Saccharomyces cerevisiae S288C: one gene and its partners. The protein of the gene in region 1 interacts with the protein of each later gene in a biochemical or structural test. Each region holds a gene or a part of one and is shown in the gene's direction. Other genes may lie near its edges. The genes, in order: IME2, MCM4, GPA2 and IME1.

What was found.
Region 2: of the proteins of IME2 (region 1) and MCM4, one has a biochemical effect on the other in vitro, tested with the Saccharomyces cerevisiae proteins (one study listed by BioGRID).
Region 3: the proteins of IME2 (region 1) and GPA2 form a complex in vitro, tested with the Saccharomyces cerevisiae proteins (one study listed by BioGRID).
Region 4: of the proteins of IME2 (region 1) and IME1, one has a biochemical effect on the other in vitro, tested with the Saccharomyces cerevisiae proteins (one study listed by BioGRID).

The regions. Positions count from the first base shown.
Region 1 is NC_001142.9:219,421-224,584, forward strand, and holds IME2 (protein kinase IME2), read left to right. Parts: upstream 1-1,969; coding exon 1,970-3,907; downstream 3,908-5,164. Other genes in the region: YJL107C (uncharacterized protein), read right to left, coding at 1-596. UniProt on the Saccharomyces cerevisiae protein: Protein kinase which is essential for the initiation of meiosis and sporulation.
Region 2 is NC_001148.4:595,198-601,090, forward strand, and holds MCM4 (MCM DNA helicase complex subunit MCM4), read left to right. Parts: upstream 1-1,552; coding exon 1,553-4,354; downstream 4,355-5,893. Other genes in the region: RLF2 (Rlf2p), read left to right, coding at 1-1,099; ATP20 (F1F0 ATP synthase subunit g), read left to right, coding at 4,673-5,020; AGC1 (citrin), read right to left, coding at 5,452-5,893. UniProt on the Saccharomyces cerevisiae protein: Acts as a component of the MCM2-7 complex (MCM complex) which is the putative replicative helicase essential for 'once per cell cycle' DNA replication initiation and elongation in eukaryotic cells.
Region 3 is NC_001137.3:193,002-197,438, forward strand, and holds GPA2 (guanine nucleotide-binding protein subunit alpha), read left to right. Parts: upstream 1-2,166; coding exon 2,167-3,516; downstream 3,517-4,437. Other genes in the region: ISC1 (inositol phosphosphingolipid phospholipase), read left to right, coding at 1-1,229; Arf family guanine nucleotide exchange factor SBH2, read right to left, coding at 1,272-1,538; proteasome regulatory particle lid subunit RPN3, read left to right, coding at 3,947-4,437. UniProt on the Saccharomyces cerevisiae protein: Alpha subunit of the heterotrimeric guanine nucleotide-binding protein (G protein) involved in glucose-induced cAMP signaling.
Region 4 is NC_001142.9:603,600-607,983, reverse strand, and holds IME1 (transcription factor IME1), read left to right. Parts: upstream 1-2,332; coding exon 2,333-3,415; downstream 3,416-4,384. Other genes in the region: cleavage polyadenylation factor subunit FIP1, read left to right, coding at 3,781-4,384. UniProt on the Saccharomyces cerevisiae protein: Transcription factor required for sporulation and for early sporulation-specific genes expression. Positive regulator of SME1/IME2 expression. Directly activates expression of SLZ1 during meiosis.

The DNA.
Region 1 (5,164 bases):
TCTAATTTGAGAGCCTCCAGTTTTTCTTTATCGTCGCCCTCATGAACGTCTACGATTTTAGACGCATCAGCTAGATCGGATAAGGGAATTTCTTCATTACGGTTATTTTTTTCTATATCATTCTTCCCATTTTCATTTTCTGAAGGTATTGGTGCCAAGCCAGGGACCAAACCCCCTTGATTTCCAGTCAGGTTATTTATTATCTTCTTGATGAACGTCTCATCGTCTCCATCCTTACCATTGTTCCTTAAATGTGTGAAAGAAACTTTAGGCTTCCTCTTGTGGCGAGCAGGCCTATCTTCTTCATCTTGTCCATCTGTGCCCTTAGAATTATCGCTGGTTTCTGTAGATCTTGAAGACAAATCATTTTCTAGAGCATCCGTATCAGCAGTGAATCTTACATTTTTGTTATCATTATTAGAAATACCTAGATCACTGATGCTTTTACCACTTAAATTGCCTTTTTTGCTCTCGGCTGAATTGGAAGTGCGATGGTCACTACTATCTTCAAGATTCACTCCCGCTTGACTTTGCTCGGAGCTTCCCACCCGAAAATCTGACACAGGAGTGGTTGGTTTTTCATTTCTACCGTCCATTGTATAGCCTATCGGTTATTCGATCTTTTTTCTTTTGTTATTCTATATCTAAAAGATAAAAGTCGCACACCGCTAAGTAAGTAAGTAAGTGTTATATAAGATTTATTTAGCTACGTTCTCAGATATAGTAGGCTTAAAACAAACGTAAAACATAGTTATATATTAATATGCAATTCGGTTTATTTCTTTTTCAAGATTCTTCCGAATTTCGTCATATTGGGTTCGCAATTTTTGGCGATGGCTTTGCTTCGATATTTTTCGGATGAAAATAGTCAAAGGACACTAGAAACACGAATGGCGCGCTGATTACGGAGACGTCGGGCTAAGACAAAGAGGGTCCATTCGGCGTGCTGGTGGTACTGTGACAGATAAACCCAATGCCCCACTTTTCTCGAGGAGTTGAAACAAGCGGGACAACTGCTACGTCATAAAAATGGGAGTACCAAGGGAGGAGCCATAAGCCGGGTAAAATTTGGCGCTGTTTTTCTTAATCTAAAAATAGTTCAACAATAAAATTTGGGCTCCGCCCATCCAGACCAAAGCAATCTTCGGCCTTAACAAGCCAAAGGGAACGAAACCCAGACTCTACCATGCATTTCGAACATGTTGTAGCTAACTACACTGGTAACCCAGATACCTATTCTCTCAGTAGCTGTTTCACCAAGACTCCGCACTCATGGTAAGTAGAAAAAGAAAACTCTCACAAAAATCTGAGTGGCACAGCTTTTCCAAATACGCTTTTTAAACTTGGAGAAATAAAGATGTATTACCCGCTGGTGCCTTAAAATATCCTTTTCTCCGGTTGTCCAATAATTTATGTTACGGCGGCTATTTGAGTTTTTGTGGAAATCTCTATCATTAATAAATGTCAGCCTTGTGTCTTAAATGCAATTCAACAGGGAAAAGGCGCGAGACTTCGGCGGCAAAAAGCCACAGACAAGTGCTGGTTGCAAAGAGGTAAAGAAGTAATGTGTGTAATCAAATAGATATATTAAGGTAGCAACTCACCGGTCTGTCCATTTTCTTTTCCTGAATAACTTCTTCTGTCTTCACACATTCATTTCATTTTTATTTTCCAATATCACTCAACGAGAAAGAAGTTACAAGATCTATCTTTCAAAATAGTTTACAGTTACCTTTACTTTACCCTTTCCCTTTTCAGTTTGTTACCCCTTCTCCTAAAAGTTTTATTTTTTGGGTAAAGATATAAAGGACACTCCAGTCGGTTAAGGTGGCTGTCTAGAGAATATAAACCTGTATTTATTTACCAGGCTTATCAGAAAAGTTAATCGTGTTCTTAAATATTCATTGAAAAGGAACGTGATACAGACGTAATAAAAGAAGAGTACTAAGCTTAACTTAATAGGTCATTTATGGTTGAAAAACGTAGTAGACAGAGTTCCAGTAGTGGCTCAGAGTTCAGTGTTCCACCTGATGTCGATAACCCGCCACTTTCTATCCCTTTGAAGACTTTATCAGACAGATATCAGCTGATCGAAAAACTAGGTGCAGGATCATTTGGTTGTGTAACTTTAGCCAAAGCGCAATTTCCTTTATCGAACATATTGGGTAAACAACATGATATAAGGGGTACTTTAATGGATCAGCCTAAAAATGGTCACCAAAACTATATAACAAAGACACAAGGTGTAGTGGCTATAAAGACAATGATGACAAAACTGCATACACTCCAGGATTATACGAGGGTCAGAGAAATTAAGTTCATACTGGCAATCCCAGCGAATGACCATCTGATACAAATTTTTGAGGTCTTTATTGACTCTGAAAATTACCAATTACATATCGTAATGGAATGTATGGAGCAAAACCTATATCAAATGATGAAACATAGAAGGCGCCGAGTTTTTTCGATTCCTTCTTTGAAATCTATTCTATCGCAGATACTGGCTGGGTTAAAACACATCCACGAACATAATTTCTTCCACAGAGATTTAAAACCTGAAAATATTCTTATCACACCAAGTACCCAGTATTTTGAAAAGGAGTACATGAACCAGATTGGATATCAAGATAACTATGTCATTAAACTTGCAGATTTTGGTTTGGCACGCCATGTTGAAAATAAAAACCCGTATACGGCCTACGTTTCCACAAGATGGTATAGATCGCCTGAAATATTATTAAGAAGTGGTTACTATTCCAAACCTTTGGATATTTGGGCATTCGGGTGCGTGGCGGTGGAAGTTACTGTATTCAGAGCTCTCTTCCCCGGTGCTAACGAAATCGATCAGATATGGAAAATTTTAGAAGTTCTTGGTACACCTATCAAACGTTCTGATTTTGTTAATACAAACCACATCACAGCTCCACCACCTGGTGGATTTTGGGATGATGCCAGTAATTTGGTCCATAAATTAAACTTGAAATTGCCTTATGTAGAAGGTTCATCGTTGGATCATCTACTTTCTAGCTCCCAACTATCCGATTTATCTGAGGTTGTCAAAAAGTGTTTAAGATGGGATCCTAATGAAAGGGCAACAGCCCAAGAGCTTTGTGAAATGCCATTTTTTGAAAACACCGTGGCATCCCAAGTAGACGCAAGAGGCAATGTGACTAATACAGAACAAGCATTGATTTTTGCAGGTATAAATCCAGTAGCGACCAACACAAAGCCCATATATTTTAACTCTTCAACAAAATTGCCCGCAGAAACAGAGTCTAATGATATTGATATCAGCAACAACGATCACGATTCTCATGCTATGTGCTCACCAACATTAAATCAAGAAAAACTAACTTTGGTAGAATTTTTAAACGAATTCGTTGAAGAAGATAATGATGATCACTCAATACCTGATGTTGGAACAGATTCTACCATTTCAGATTCTATTGATGAGACTGAATTATCAAAAGAAATTCGTAATAATTTGGCCCTTTGTCAACTACCAGATGAAGAAGTCTTAGATCATTCATTATCGAATATTAGGCAGTTGACAAATGATATTGAAATTATAAATAAAGATGAAGCAGACAACATGGAACAGCTATTTTTTGACCTGGAAATTCCTGAAAAGGATGAGTTTCAGAGAAAACAACCATTTAATGAACATGCAGATATTGATGAAGACATCGTTCTACCATATGTGAACAACTCAAATTACACACATACAGATAGGTCACATCATAGAGGTGATAATGTTTTGGGTGATGCCTCTTTAGGCGATTCGTTTAATTCAATGCCAGATTTTACTCCAAGAAATTTCTTGATACCTACATTAAAAAAATCACGGGAAAAGTTCGAGCCTCATCTATCCAATTCAAACCAACATTTTGGAAATGTAACCTTCTAATAATTTGTCATTTGACTGACGAATCGTTAGGCACAGTTATATAGTTATATACACATAGACATACATATGTTCGCATATATATTATATTACTATGCATTCACCTAAATAGCTACTGCTCTATTAATACAGTGCTTTTTCGATGGCTTTAATTTAACTTATTAGACATTACTTTGCGTTTATTCCCCTCCAATATATTTTTATGTTTGTTTTTCTTGAACATTTTATGATTTCTTGCTCTTGGCGGCTACTGATTTTGTTAAGCAACTCATCAAGAGGTCAAAAAAAGTAGAACGAGATCTTTGTGTTCGGTTACCCGGCTCAGATCCTAACTTGGTATGTTTATTCGTATAAGTTACTGTTGTCCACAGGCAATACTCTGCAGAAAATTAAAACGGCATTAATGCTAGGACAACCAGAACTGTTACTACTGTATGTGCGATAGTTGATAACTGCAACATTATGCCCGGTATATTCTCAAAAAACCCTATTACTGCATACGAAGAAATCGCAAGAGAAATCTTTCGGTTTGGAAAAGCTCACTGTGAGGTTCCTTGGAGCCAATAGTAATACAGCACAATCCAAGGAAAAATCTGGCCTATATGCAAGGAAGGAGAGATAGTCAAAAGCATTCTTTCCCCTAGAAGTTGGTGCATATATGGCATCGTTAAAACATATTACCCCCAAAATTTCTTCTCTAAACGATGTGCTTGGCCTTTGTTTTGGTTTTTGATGTCGGTCGTTTGAGGCCCCTTGCGGAAAATCGAGATCGCCGAATGGCACGCGAGGGAAGGGAAATAAGGTTTAAAGGCACTGAAACAATAGGCAAGAAGTAGGCGAGAGCCGACATACGAGACTAATGTGTCCGCGTTTCTAAGGCCACTTTTCAATGAAACGGATATTGATATGCTAGTAAAAGGACGAGCTCAAGAGCGAAAATATAAGTAAAGAATTCGAGTGCACTTGTCTCCATGCAGCAAGATTTCATATGAGTCTTTTTTATCTTTTTACTTTTTACATTACACGATATGCACTTTATGAAAATTTAACGAGGTTGGAAGCCGGATAATCAACCAAAATCAGGCACGAAGGCACACTCGTATATGCATGTTGTTGAAACTCTGTTACGCTGAACTAACAATCACACATGTAGAGGTCACCGGGAAAAGTTGCGACCCCATGGAAGGTCGATCTCTTCGTTTGGCTTTGCTTGGCTGGCGGCATTGCGCTTCTTCGCTTATACCCGTCTCTTGACGCTCG
Region 2 (5,893 bases), on another chromosome or scaffold:
TACGCCTGTGGTTGAAAAGTCGGATTATGAAAAATTTTTTCTACCTTTCTATGCTAAAGATGGAGTTAGAGTCAGTAATAAGTGGAAACTAACAAAAGTGGAGCTGGAAGGTAGCAAAAGAAAAATAGATGATGAATTACTGAACAGTAAAGATAAAACAAGTAGTGACGACTTATTGAATTGGTTACAGTCTAGAAGATTACCTAGAGGACATAAAATTAAACGTAAAGCTGTTGACGTTCTACAGCAAATGCCTTTGAAGGAGAAAACAGACGATGAGCTCCAATCTTTACTTGCACAAGTTCCGCACAAATATATAAAATTCTACGAAAATGTTAGACCTCCGTTTATCGGAACCTATTCTATGGACTTTACTTTGCCACCAAACGATCCCTTTTCTACGAAAGGTACTGGATTCAATTATGATTACGATTCTGACGTTGAATGGGTTAATGAAGAAGAAGAAGGCGAAGTCGATAACTTAGAAAGTGGTGAAGAGGAGGAGGAGGAGGAAGATGATGAAGACGTACCTAGCGAAGGAGAGTTTGACGGGTTTCTAGACAGCGAAGAAAACAGTGATTTGGATGGCCTACCCTGCGCCAAGAGAAAATTTGTAGGCCCATTGATACCAACAATATGCCTAAAATCCAATTTTGAAAACTTATCAGAGGAAAATAAACGATACTTACAACAACTCAAGGCCGAAGTTATCATAGAAACCGACGGGCCAATCGATCCATTCAAAGAACCCAAAACATCGTCTCTACCATCCAAAAGAAGTAATTCCGACTTACAGGCACAGACCGCTAGCCAATCTCAAAGTCCCGAAAAGAAACAAAAAGCAATGATTACAGACCCCATGGACTTACTTCGACTTTTTGATGGGGTTCAAGACAGCACGTTTTCTTTGGGTACTGTGACTGAAATAGCACAGAAAAATTTGCCGCAATACAACAAACAAACAATTAAAAACACCATAAAGGAATATGCCATAAGAAGTTCTGGAAAGGGTGATTTGCCCCGCAAATGGGTAATCAAAGACGCACAAAACTGGGAGAATCTTCGAGCCAATGCAAATATGCCAACCCCGTCTTTGTAACTTGAACGGATCTTTAGTATATAGAAACATACAGATAAACTGATTATTTATTGGTATACATGAAAAAGGCGACAACACTACGATCGACAGTCAAGCCTTTTGGACTTTGAATAAAATCCAGCACTTCTCGCATGCAACAAAAGAAAATCTTCTATATAAGCTGAACTACATTTATCTGTGTCAGCCAACTGCATGTTTTATATCACTTCTTTTTGGAATATTACGAGTAGATTCATGAAAACGCAAACACTTGGTTTACTCTTTCGGGAAATTTAATGCTAGTTCGCCGCCTCGAAAATGAAAAGAGAAGAAGAGACCAGAAGAGCAACTTCGCATTGGCACTGTTTATTTCTTTAAGAACATCTTCAATACTAAATAAGACAACCCATCTTCAGTTATTTTTACTCTTGGTAGAGCCCAACTTAGGATCCTTTTGAACCTCAAGAACTTAAAATGTCTCAACAGTCTAGCTCTCCAACAAAAGAGGATAATAACTCCAGCTCCCCCGTTGTGCCTAATCCTGATTCTGTTCCACCACAGCTTTCTTCCCCAGCTCTATTTTATAGCTCCTCTTCATCACAAGGTGATATCTATGGTCGCAACAATAGCCAGAACTTAAGTCAGGGAGAGGGAAACATCAGAGCTGCTATAGGTTCTTCTCCACTAAATTTTCCATCTTCTTCCCAAAGACAAAATTCCGATGTTTTCCAATCTCAAGGCAGACAGGGCAGAATTCGTTCTTCTGCGAGCGCTTCTGGAAGGTCTAGATATCATTCTGATCTGAGAAGTGATAGAGCACTGCCTACTTCTTCCTCTTCTTTAGGCCGTAATGGTCAAAACCGTGTACACATGCGAAGAAATGATATTCATACATCTGATTTATCCTCTCCAAGAAGAATTGTGGATTTTGATACTAGATCCGGCGTGAATACTTTGGATACTTCTTCTTCTTCTGCTCCTCCATCGGAAGCCAGTGAACCCTTGAGAATAATTTGGGGTACCAACGTCAGTATCCAGGAATGTACAACTAATTTTCGTAATTTTTTGATGTCTTTCAAGTATAAATTCCGTAAAATATTGGATGAAAGGGAGGAATTCATTAACAATACTACCGACGAAGAACTATACTATATCAAGCAGCTTAATGAAATGAGAGAACTTGGTACCTCTAATTTAAACTTGGATGCTAGAAACTTACTTGCTTACAAGCAAACAGAAGACTTATACCATCAACTATTAAATTATCCTCAAGAAGTGATTTCTATCATGGATCAAACTATCAAGGACTGTATGGTTTCCTTAATAGTAGACAACAATTTGGATTACGATTTAGATGAAATAGAGACCAAGTTTTATAAAGTAAGGCCTTACAATGTAGGTTCTTGTAAAGGTATGCGCGAATTGAATCCAAATGATATTGATAAATTGATAAACTTAAAGGGTCTTGTCCTGAGATCAACTCCGGTTATCCCTGATATGAAGGTAGCGTTTTTCAAATGCAACGTCTGCGATCATACAATGGCAGTGGAAATTGATAGAGGAGTTATACAAGAGCCCGCTAGGTGTGAACGTATTGATTGTAATGAACCCAATTCCATGTCACTGATTCACAACAGGTGTTCATTCGCAGATAAACAAGTCATTAAGTTACAGGAAACTCCAGACTTTGTGCCTGATGGACAAACGCCTCACTCTATCTCATTATGTGTTTACGATGAATTAGTGGATTCTTGCAGGGCGGGCGATCGTATTGAGGTGACTGGCACGTTCAGGTCCATCCCCATTAGAGCTAATTCCAGGCAACGCGTACTAAAGTCGTTGTATAAAACATACGTCGATGTGGTCCACGTTAAAAAAGTTTCAGATAAGAGGTTAGACGTCGATACTTCTACTATTGAACAAGAATTAATGCAGAACAAGGTAGATCATAACGAGGTCGAAGAAGTAAGACAAATTACTGATCAGGATTTAGCAAAAATTCGCGAGGTTGCGGCAAGAGAAGATTTATACAGTTTATTAGCCCGCTCTATTGCCCCAAGTATTTACGAGCTAGAAGATGTCAAGAAGGGTATATTACTTCAGCTATTTGGCGGCACGAATAAAACCTTTACCAAGGGTGGCCGTTATAGAGGTGACATAAATATTTTACTTTGTGGGGATCCTTCTACTTCCAAATCGCAAATTTTGCAATACGTTCACAAAATTACTCCTCGTGGTGTGTATACTTCGGGTAAAGGTTCATCTGCCGTTGGTTTAACTGCTTATATTACAAGGGATGTCGACACAAAACAACTTGTTTTGGAAAGTGGTGCATTAGTATTGTCTGATGGAGGTGTTTGTTGTATTGACGAGTTTGATAAAATGAGTGATTCTACAAGGTCCGTCTTGCACGAAGTCATGGAACAGCAGACTATTTCAATCGCAAAAGCGGGAATTATCACAACACTTAATGCCAGAAGTTCTATTTTGGCCAGTGCTAACCCAATTGGTTCACGCTACAACCCCAATTTGCCTGTGACTGAAAATATTGATCTACCGCCCCCACTACTTTCGAGATTCGATCTGGTCTATCTTGTCCTTGATAAGGTTGATGAGAAAAATGACAGAGAACTAGCCAAACACTTAACAAATCTTTACCTGGAAGATAAGCCCGAACATATTTCTCAAGACGACGTGCTACCAGTTGAATTTTTAACGATGTATATTAGTTATGCAAAGGAGCACATACACCCAATAATCACCGAGGCCGCTAAGACTGAGCTTGTTCGTGCTTATGTAGGAATGAGAAAGATGGGTGACGATTCGAGATCCGATGAGAAGAGAATCACAGCTACCACAAGACAACTTGAAAGTATGATTCGTTTGGCTGAGGCGCACGCCAAAATGAAATTGAAAAACGTCGTAGAGCTGGAGGATGTTCAAGAAGCCGTTAGATTAATTAGATCAGCCATAAAAGATTATGCAACAGACCCTAAAACCGGTAAAATCGACATGAATTTAGTTCAAACAGGTAAATCAGTTATTCAGAGAAAACTACAGGAGGATTTGTCAAGGGAAATTATGAATGTTTTGAAGGATCAGGCATCAGACTCAATGTCATTCAATGAGCTTATAAAACAAATCAATGAACACTCTCAAGATAGAGTTGAGTCTTCTGATATCCAGGAAGCCTTGTCAAGATTGCAACAAGAGGACAAGGTCATTGTCCTTGGCGAGGGTGTAAGGAGATCAGTTCGCCTGAATAACCGTGTCTGATGCTGTCTACTACAATCATTCCCTGCGTAACAATTAATAAATACTAATTAATTATAGCAAGTTTGTATTTTTTACATCCTTATGCTTTGTAACACTATTCAATACTGTATGTAGGCTCGATTGAGTGGGCGGCTTTTTTCTTATTCCTGATTGGCTGAAAGAAAATATTGTTAAACGCACTAAATTTATCCCGAAGGATGATTACATTTAAAGACCGAAAAATGAAGATGCAAAGATCCCTCATATTTTCTACTCCAGTCCAAATCGACAAGATAAACCTGCCGATAAATCATATTTCAGAACGCTAATCAATTCATCATGCTAAGCAGGATCCAAAATTATACCAGTGGGTTGGTTTCTAAAGCAAATCTTTTGTCATCAAAGGCTTTATACTATGGTAAAGTCGGTGCCGAGATTTCAAAACAGATTTATTTAAAAGAGGGTCTTCAACCACCAACTGTTGCCCAGTTCAAATCAGTGTATTCGAACCTTTATAAGCAGAGCCTAAACTTTGCTCTAAAGCCTACAGAAGTTTTATCGTGTTTAAAAAACATCCAAAAGAATGAACTATTAAAATATGGCGCATATGGTATTCAGTTGATAGGGTTTTATTCTGTCGGTGAAATAATTGGAAGAAGAAAATTAGTGGGATATAAACATCACTAAGCTTTTTAATTCTATCTATTCGCAAAACCCTTGTATATTCGTTAATTAAATTAAATCAATGTACAAATAGAACAAAACTAGAAAAAAGAATATATATTCATCTCAATTCTATTTATTTTCTTTTCATGACATACAATGGCATTAAAAGCGATATCGAGTTATATTACATTAGCTTCTTGCCGCCAGTTATTTATGAAATAGGCCAATATAACTTTTCTGTAAAAAAGAAAACTTGACCTCAGAGCTTTCATTACACTTATTAAGAACAACATACTTGTTGCACTATAGTAAAAACTACAGTGAAATTGATCTCAGGATCATTAGTAATTTTTCTCACTATAAGAAAAAAAAAAAAACATATATTTTGCTATGAATTATAATAAGTAAATATATACATATATATGTACAGAGAAACTGACGAAGAAAATAAATCACCCGTTAATGCTTCTTAGGTGCTCTTGAAAGTTTTTATAAACTGAAGAGTCAAACCTAGAAAAGTTATTGTCCAAATCAATGAATGTTTTCGCAATTTGACAGCTTTTATAGTAATAATTGGCATGTTTTCTATCATCAGAGTAAAACTTTTGCTGTGGGAGTTCACCGTTACTATGAACTACTGTCTCTTCATTGCCTGCGTCGTCATCGATACAAAATCTCTTCCTACCCTCTCTGCTTTTTAATTTGTTATCGGGGGAGGGAATAAAGCCCTTGAATAATTCATAGGCGGCCAGAGTGAACCCAAATTGGGGAGAACTTCTTAGGACACGGGCTCCACCACCTTTGAAAAAGCTTCTAAAGCTCTCTTCCTTTAAGATAGTTCGGATAGCATGAAATATACCGTTATACTTTGTCTCACCTTTTCGAGGATCTATC
Region 3 (4,437 bases), on another chromosome or scaffold:
GCCACTCAATGCTTACGCCAATATCTGACGAGTTGTTGCCCAATGGTGGAGATAGTAATGAAAACGAAGATTACGACGTGATTGCCTTACAAGAAATCTGGTGTGTGGAAGACTGGAAGTATCTAGCTTCTGCGTGTGCCTCCAAGTATCCGTATCAGCGTTTGTTCCATTCTGGTATTCTGACGGGGCCTGGGTTGGCCATACTGTCCAAGGTCCCGATAGAGTCGACCTTTCTTTACCGGTTCCCGATAAACGGTAGACCGAGTGCGGTGTTCCGTGGCGACTGGTACGTAGGGAAATCTATAGCAATCACCGTATTGAACACAGGAACCCGCCCCATTGCAATAATGAACAGTCACATGCACGCCCCATACGCCAAGCAGGGTGATGCCGCCTACTTGTGCCACAGATCTTGTCAGGCCTGGGATTTCAGCAGGCTCATTAAGCTTTACAGGCAGGCCGGTTATGCGGTGATTGTGGTGGGTGACTTAAACTCCAGACCGGGCTCACTGCCCCACAAATTTCTCACGCAGGAGGCCGGCCTGGTCGACTCCTGGGAGCAATTGCATGGGAAGCAAGACTTGGCGGTGATCGCTCGTCTGTCTCCATTGCAACAATTGCTTAAGGGCTGTACCACGTGCGATTCGCTGCTCAACACATGGAGGGCCCAAAGACAACCCGATGAGGCATGCAGGTTGGATTATGCTCTTATCGACCCTGATTTCTTGCAAACAGTAGACGCAGGTGTCAGGTTCACTGAACGGATCCCTCACCTGGACTGCAGTGTCTCTGACCATTTTGCATACTCATGCACCCTTAACATCGTCCCACAGGGCACAGAGTCCCGTCCATCCACCTCCGTTAAGCGTGCGAAGACTCATGATAGAGAGCTGATCTTGCAGAGATACTCCAACTACGAAACCATGATAGAATGCATCCACACGTACTTGAAGACAGCCCAAAGACAGAAATTTTTCCGTGGCCTACATTTCTGGGCCTCAATACTTCTCCTAATAGCGTCGTTGGTCGTGACAACGTTTACTGCAAACAAGGCAGGCTGGTCCTCCATCTTCTGGGTCCTTTTCGCTATTGCTGTCTCCATCTCGGGCACCATCGACGGTGCCATCTCCTTCTTGTTTGGCAGGTCTGAAATCAGAGCCCTCATCGAAGTCGAACAAGAGGTTCTGGACGCGGAGCACCACCTGCAAACTTTCTTGAGCGAGAAATGATATTATCGATTTTCTTTAGCATATGTAAAAAAATTACTGATATTATATAATGTGTGTAAATTTCGTCAATAGATGCAAAGCAATCACGGAGAAGATGAAACCGACAGATAGGAACAATACGACAAGGGAGTCGACTCTGAATCCATTGGCTTCGTCCGTATATAACTTCAAAATTGAGCTTGAAGACCCACCGTAACCAGCCTGTCTGGTGGAAGTGGGCGTTTGTTTTGCTTGCTTTTCCTTAATGGATTGTGCCTGTCTTCTCTTCTGCAAGATACGCTGACCTCCTGGTGGAACTGAAGCTGCCATTCTTATGATACTGTTGATCGATAATACCACCTGTTTTATGCTTTGCGCCCCTTACCTTTTCTCACACGCACATATATCTACTCTCTCATACCTCTTATATCTAAAATGTCTCTTTTGGCCAGTTAGTAACTGAATGAAAAAGTGAAAATGGAGGAAAAAAAAAAAGACGAAATCCAAAAGGCTAAGGAAACGGGTAACCCGTGGTACCCGGGGCAGAATCAAACTTATAATTACTAAAGATATACCATATATTACGATCCCTGCGCCCGGCGTGCTCCACATTAAGTAAATGTCTGGAGTAAAATGAAGTCCGCCAATTCAGTCACAAAACATGACTACTGCCTCGTTCGCGATTTCTTCTTCCCTTACTTCATCATGTTCAAGCCCCCTCAGCTGCGCCCAAATGATTCTTCTTATCCTCTTGCATACTGCACCGAAAAAAAAAGTTAATAAGCAGCAGGATTTATAGGCGCGTGCGTGCAGCCTTAGACTGAAGGGGTGGAAAAACTTTAGGTAGGTTTGGTTCTCACTACCCAAAGAGCAATCGATAGGTATAAAAGTGAGCAATTGCTATCACAGCGAGCCTTATTGTTACAGCACAAATCACGCGTATTTTCAAGCAAATATCATGGGTCTCTGCGCATCTTCAGAAAAGAACGGCAGCACTCCTGACACGCAGACCGCCAGCGCTGGTAGTGACAACGTTGGCAAAGCGAAGGTACCACCAAAGCAGGAGCCACAGAAGACTGTGAGAACAGTCAACACAGCAAATCAACAAGAAAAGCAACAACAGAGGCAGCAGCAGCCGTCTCCGCATAATGTTAAGGACCGCAAGGAGCAAAACGGGAGCATTAATAACGCGATATCTCCCACGGCTACGGCAAATACAAGCGGATCGCAACAGATCAATATCGACTCTGCCCTGAGAGACAGGTCGAGTAACGTTGCAGCACAACCATCATTGTCGGACGCTTCAAGTGGCAGCAACGACAAAGAACTGAAAGTGCTACTGCTGGGTGCCGGTGAAAGTGGTAAGTCCACGGTATTGCAGCAGTTGAAGATTTTACACCAGAACGGGTTTAGCGAGCAGGAAATTAAAGAGTACATCCCCTTGATCTATCAGAATCTATTGGAAATTGGCAGGAACCTCATCCAGGCGAGAACAAGGTTTAACGTCAACTTGGAACCGGAGTGTGAACTGACGCAACAAGACCTGTCGAGAACCATGTCCTATGAAATGCCCAATAACTACACGGGCCAATTCCCGGAAGATATCGCGGGCGTAATATCTACGTTGTGGGCCTTGCCCTCAACACAAGATTTAGTCAATGGGCCTAACGCATCGAAGTTCTATCTAATGGACTCGACTCCTTACTTCATGGAAAATTTCACCAGGATCACTTCGCCCAATTACAGACCCACCCAGCAGGACATATTAAGATCGAGACAGATGACGTCAGGGATTTTTGACACCGTCATTGATATGGGGTCGGATATCAAGATGCATATTTACGACGTGGGTGGACAGCGTTCCGAAAGAAAAAAATGGATACACTGCTTCGACAATGTCACTCTGGTCATATTTTGCGTTTCTCTATCGGAGTACGACCAGACGCTGATGGAGGACAAGAACCAGAACAGGTTTCAGGAATCGCTGGTGCTTTTCGATAATATTGTCAACAGTAGATGGTTCGCGCGCACGTCTGTCGTACTCTTTCTGAATAAAATCGACCTTTTTGCTGAAAAACTAAGCAAAGTGCCTATGGAAAATTACTTCCCAGACTACACCGGCGGGTCAGACATCAACAAGGCTGCTAAGTACATACTCTGGAGGTTTGTTCAGTTAAACAGGGCGAATCTAAGCATATATCCTCACGTGACACAGGCCACAGACACGTCGAATATAAGATTAGTATTTGCCGCCATCAAAGAAACAATTTTGGAAAATACATTGAAAGACTCTGGAGTGTTACAATGAATGCACAGCTAAAACAGAGACAAAACTGCATGCCTCTTCTCCCCTTTATTATCACCTTTAAAAAAGATAAAAAAAGAAACTGGAAAAAAGGTAAAAAAAAAAAAAAAATTAAATAAATACGAATACGTTTTCTCATGACCATTGTACTAGTAATCACAACCATGATACTTGAATAACTTTTCTGTTTTGTGCTGTATTAAGCACAACCGTTATTTTTTAATTTATAGCGTTATACCACTATATTATTGTAGTCATTATAGTTATTATCCCGGGTAACAAAAATTTCATTCCAACGAGGTAATAGTTCCACTTTTCAGGCAGGAGGACGAAAAACATTTGCCACCCAAGAAAGAGACAAAGCAGTAGGTAAGGCATTCATCACACAATTTGAAAGGGGGTATAGTAAAAAAAATTCAATTGAGCAAATAGAATGGCTAGCACTGCAGTAATGATGGACGTGGATTCTTCCGGGGTCAATGACTTGCACCATTCTGAGAAGAAATATGCGGAAGAAGATCAGGTTCAGGAACTATTGAAAGTTTTGAATGAGATCTCCAAGACCACTTTAACGCTGGACCCAAGATATATATGGAGGAGTTTAAAGGACTTGAGCTCTTTAAGGAACCAGGAGCTTTTGAATGCGGAAACTTTATGTTTCACAGTGAATGTGCTGTACCCTGATTCTTCTTCATTCAAGAAGAATCTGCTGAAGTTCATTACTTCTAACCATAAATCGTCCGTACCGGGGTCAGCTGAGCTTAGAAACTCATATCCAGCCTCTTTTTATTCCGTAAACACTGAGAAAAAGACCATTGAAGTGACAGCTGAAATTAATTGCTTCATGCATCTACTAGTCCAGTTGTTTTTATGGGACAGTAAAGAATTAGAACAATTGGTAGAGTTTAATAGGAAGGTTGTTAT
Region 4 (4,384 bases), 380 kb from region 1:
AAAATGAAAGGCAGAAGATGGGCGGCTAAAAAGGTATAGAGATCGTACGTCACCGTCACAAAAATCACTCATAGAATGCACTATCATCCTTACAATACCATACCAGCCGCAAGAAAAAAAGAAAAAAAAATCAATTCATATCATATATTATCTATATCATGCTGTTCTTTCCGCCACGGCCCGTATGGTGTTGGAGTAATTTGATTAATGTATTCCCTCACGGAGGTTCAGTAGATATTCTCAATAAAAGAAGGGTGGGGGTGTATTTGCTGCAAGAATGCGGATGTCAAAAGAACCTCAAGAAGTCCACTAAATGGCAGTAAATGCCGCGCTTACATTTTTAGCGACTGCCGAAAACGTACGGCTAACTGCTGTACCTCAAAAGCATAAAATTGTGATGTTGATTAAAACAAGTAGGCGTTGCATATATAGACGTGGGTAGGAAAAAAGTGAGCGCCAACACTATATAAGAAACCGTTTCTGGATACACCCTCGTGAAGAAATAGGGTCCTGCATTGATATTTTCAAACTTATATAATTAATAATAATTAATAGCGCTTAGTTTAAAGAATTTGAACTATTTTTTGGCCAACTTGGAGAAAGAATGTGTACTTGATTATTGGCATTCCGCGTATTTACGCGGGGATAAAGAGAAAACAAAGGAGAAAAGGAATTTCCTCAATTCCGATGACTAGTACCTCCGAGCAAGCAATCATCGGCGAACAGATGTAAAAAGAGAGTTTTAAACACTGAGTTTTATTTATCAAGAACGTACCCGTACAGCTATCGTTTCAGGCAGATAACAAAAATGTGATTGAAATTAAAGTAGTTTTGTTTGGAATCATGATAATTAAATATTTCATTAATTTGAAGTTACTAAGTAATGAAGCTAGCCCGAGAAACGCAAATGCTCAGAGAGCCCGGCAGTAATTGTGTACACAGAACTATACAAGCCGCTGGATAAAGCTTATTCGTTGATGTCATCCGCTATTACCTCTCCTAATCATGGCTGCAGGAAATCTTTTCTCTCAACATCTTGTACCACTTTAAAATGCGGTAGCAAAGGACAAACGGTAAAACGTTACACTGCCACGGTGTTATAGCAGCCGCAAAGTGAGTAAGCATGTGATGGTACCTTCAATACTGCGTTGGAGAAAAAAAGTGCGTATCTTTGTTTACTTTTCGTCTTCGAGGGGAAGGATCAAAGGCGCATGCGTGCCCGCAGGAGGGGGCGCCAGGATTGGGGGTAGATACAACATCAAGGAAGCGTCATGGTGGCTTCTTGGGTCTTAAATACGCAGGGAATTAAAGTTTCATTTATGTGCCTTTACATGCACTCAAAAACCTTCTTAGTTACAGGAAAAGGTAAAGATACGATAAGAAAAGCCTTTGAACTGCCCATCCTGCATCCTAACACAGATCTAACTCACTATTCGGGTAAGGAAGTGTCATGCATGTCTGCAAAGGGACTAGAAGAAAGTTACATGATTACATAAGCAAAAAATCGGAATTACAGACACACCATTTTTTATCCTGCGGCCCCATTTCCGTCTTCGAGGGAAAGGATCAAAGGCGCTTAGCCCAATCTTGATGATTCACCGGGGAAGAAAGGAATTACAGAACCCCCAGCCACGTAACACAGCCAATTAGTTTTCTATATCGGGAAACGTGATTGATTGCGCAATTTTGGCTGCATCAGAATACATCGATGAGATCTAGAGCACCCTTTGATGGTTTAAGTCCGGTTTAAAGTTAGTAGATCAATGATTTCGTAGTGCATTTTAAAGGGAGCGCTTATCCATGGGTGATTGCGTTTACAACGTTTTGTGTGTACTCATAATAGCCAATCTAAAATTAAACAACAACAACAACGCACAATTAATATGTATCAGCCCCAATACCTTTTTCTCTTACTGTAATTTACTACTAAATTGGGGTCGGACGTTTTTGATCTTGTTCCTTGCCTGTTGTTTACCTTGTATATTACTTTTCCTCTTTTATGTATTTAAGGTAAATTAATTATCTTTTGATCTTAATATTTTTCTCAAAATGCTTCCCTTGTAGTTCGGTATTTTTGCTTCTTCAGATATTTAAACTACCGTATACCATAACTGTTTCGTGAAGTAGATACAAACATCGACTATCCTATTACGATTTATTTTACATTATCATATTATAAATCGACCAGTAGTATTGTTAAAGATTAAAAGCATAATATACTACTGTCATTAGTCACCTACAGAGAAACAAATTCCTACTGGCACCCATTACTGGTGAAAAAGGAAAAAAATAATAAAAGAAAAGCTTTTCTATTCCTCTCCCCACAAACAAAATGCAAGCGGATATGCATGGAAAACTTCACGCTGCCTTAGAAGATGGTTTCTTCCTCTTTCCTTTTGAACAGCAACAACAACCTAACATTTATTATGACACAACCACCGATCAAGAAGACCGTCCTTGTTTTTCTTTTGGATCTACAATTTCCCCTAGAAGTTGGCATTTTGAAAAGTCTGACAAAATTGCCTCATCTCAGCTGCAGAACTTGGTTCATACACAACCAATTCATTTAATTAATCCTCAAATATTGTTCAATGAAGAGTTTCTGAATTTGGAAAATATTGATTCTCAGCCTATTTCCAAGGAAACGAAAACTACGAAGGACTGCACAATGGCAACTGGTCCTGAAAGAGGAAAAAAGAGCTCTGAAAGTACCAGATCCTCTTCATTATCATCTCTTTTTTCTAATGATGAATCCGCATCTACGTTCCACTCATCATTCAATAACCATGATAACTTTCAAAAGAGCAACAGAAATGGAGATGATATCGATATTAGTGACACAATAAAATATGAAACTAATACAAATGCACAAAAAGATATCAAAATATTCCAAGAAAATTTTGAATTCAATGAATTCCCATACACACAAGACTTCTACCCATATACCACTAATTATACCTATTCAAAACCCACAAATATTCATGAATCAATAAATTCAAAAAACACGGATTCATACTCCCAATATCAAGATCAGTTTCCACCACATACTGATAACATACATTCCTTTAATAATCGTCACTATAGCAACCATAAAAGCACTAATTGTAATTACTATAATAATACCAGCAATAATAACAACGCCTCCGATAATGTATATGAGGCAGATCCATTTATAGATGAACCTCAGGTGCCCTCCTACTATTACCCATTAGAAATTGCCTTCGACGTTGAAAAATCACCACCGCCATCACTACAAAAATTAAATTCAAAAGAGTTAGAATTCCTAAAAAAGTTGAACTCCAAACTGTCAAGATATGCTGCGGCTTACTCCTTCAGCAGTTCTAATGATCAAGATTATTATGACAAGGTCAGGTTTCAAGAAATATCCTACAAGTTTAGTAAAACCTATTCTTAATTCTCGAAAAGTACTACAATCTTCCCCCTTCCCTCAAAATATATCCATTCACACTCATTTCTTTATTTCCATTGTCTCACTCAAATTGCTAAGAATTTGTGTATTTGCATATATATATATTATATATAGGTATATATATGTATTCAATGTCTCAAGCTCCATGACATAATACCGTAGCGTTATTAGCCTTATCGTATGTCGCGATGGGAAAGGAGATTCGTTTTAATCTTGAAAAACCTTCGTAGCGAATAATGCGACATAAATCTTGAGAGAGTACATCACCAAATTCACTTTGTTAAACCGCACCATCGTGCTTTGCATTCTTATTCCTTTTGCCTACACTAAAATTATTAGCATTTCTCTAAATGAGCTCCAGTGAAGACGAAGACGACAAGTTCTTGTATGGTTCCGACTCCGAATTAGCACTACCTTCATCTAAACGATCAAGAGATGATGAAGCAGACGCAGGTGCGTCCAGTAATCCTGATATAGTTAAAAGGCAAAAATTCGACTCTCCCGTGGAAGAAACTCCAGCTACTGCCAGAGATGATCGTTCTGATGAAGATATCTACTCTGACTCCTCAGATGACGATAGTGATTCTGACCTAGAGGTTATCATAAGTCTGGGTCCTGACCCTACTAGGTTAGATGCAAAACTACTCGATTCTTATTCTACCGCAGCGACATCTTCAAGCAAAGACGTAATTAGCGTAGCTACAGATGTATCCAATACCATCACAAAGACATCAGATGAAAGACTAATAACAGAAGGAGAAGCAAATCAAGGTGTAACGGCAACGACCGTAAAAGCTACAGAGAGCGATGGAAATGTACCGAAAGCAATGACTGGTTCTATAGACCTGGATAAAGAGGGAATCTTTGATAGTGTTGGCATAACGACAATAGATCCTGAAGTATTAAAGGAGAAACCCTGGAGGCAACCGGGGGCCAACTTAAGTGATTATTTCA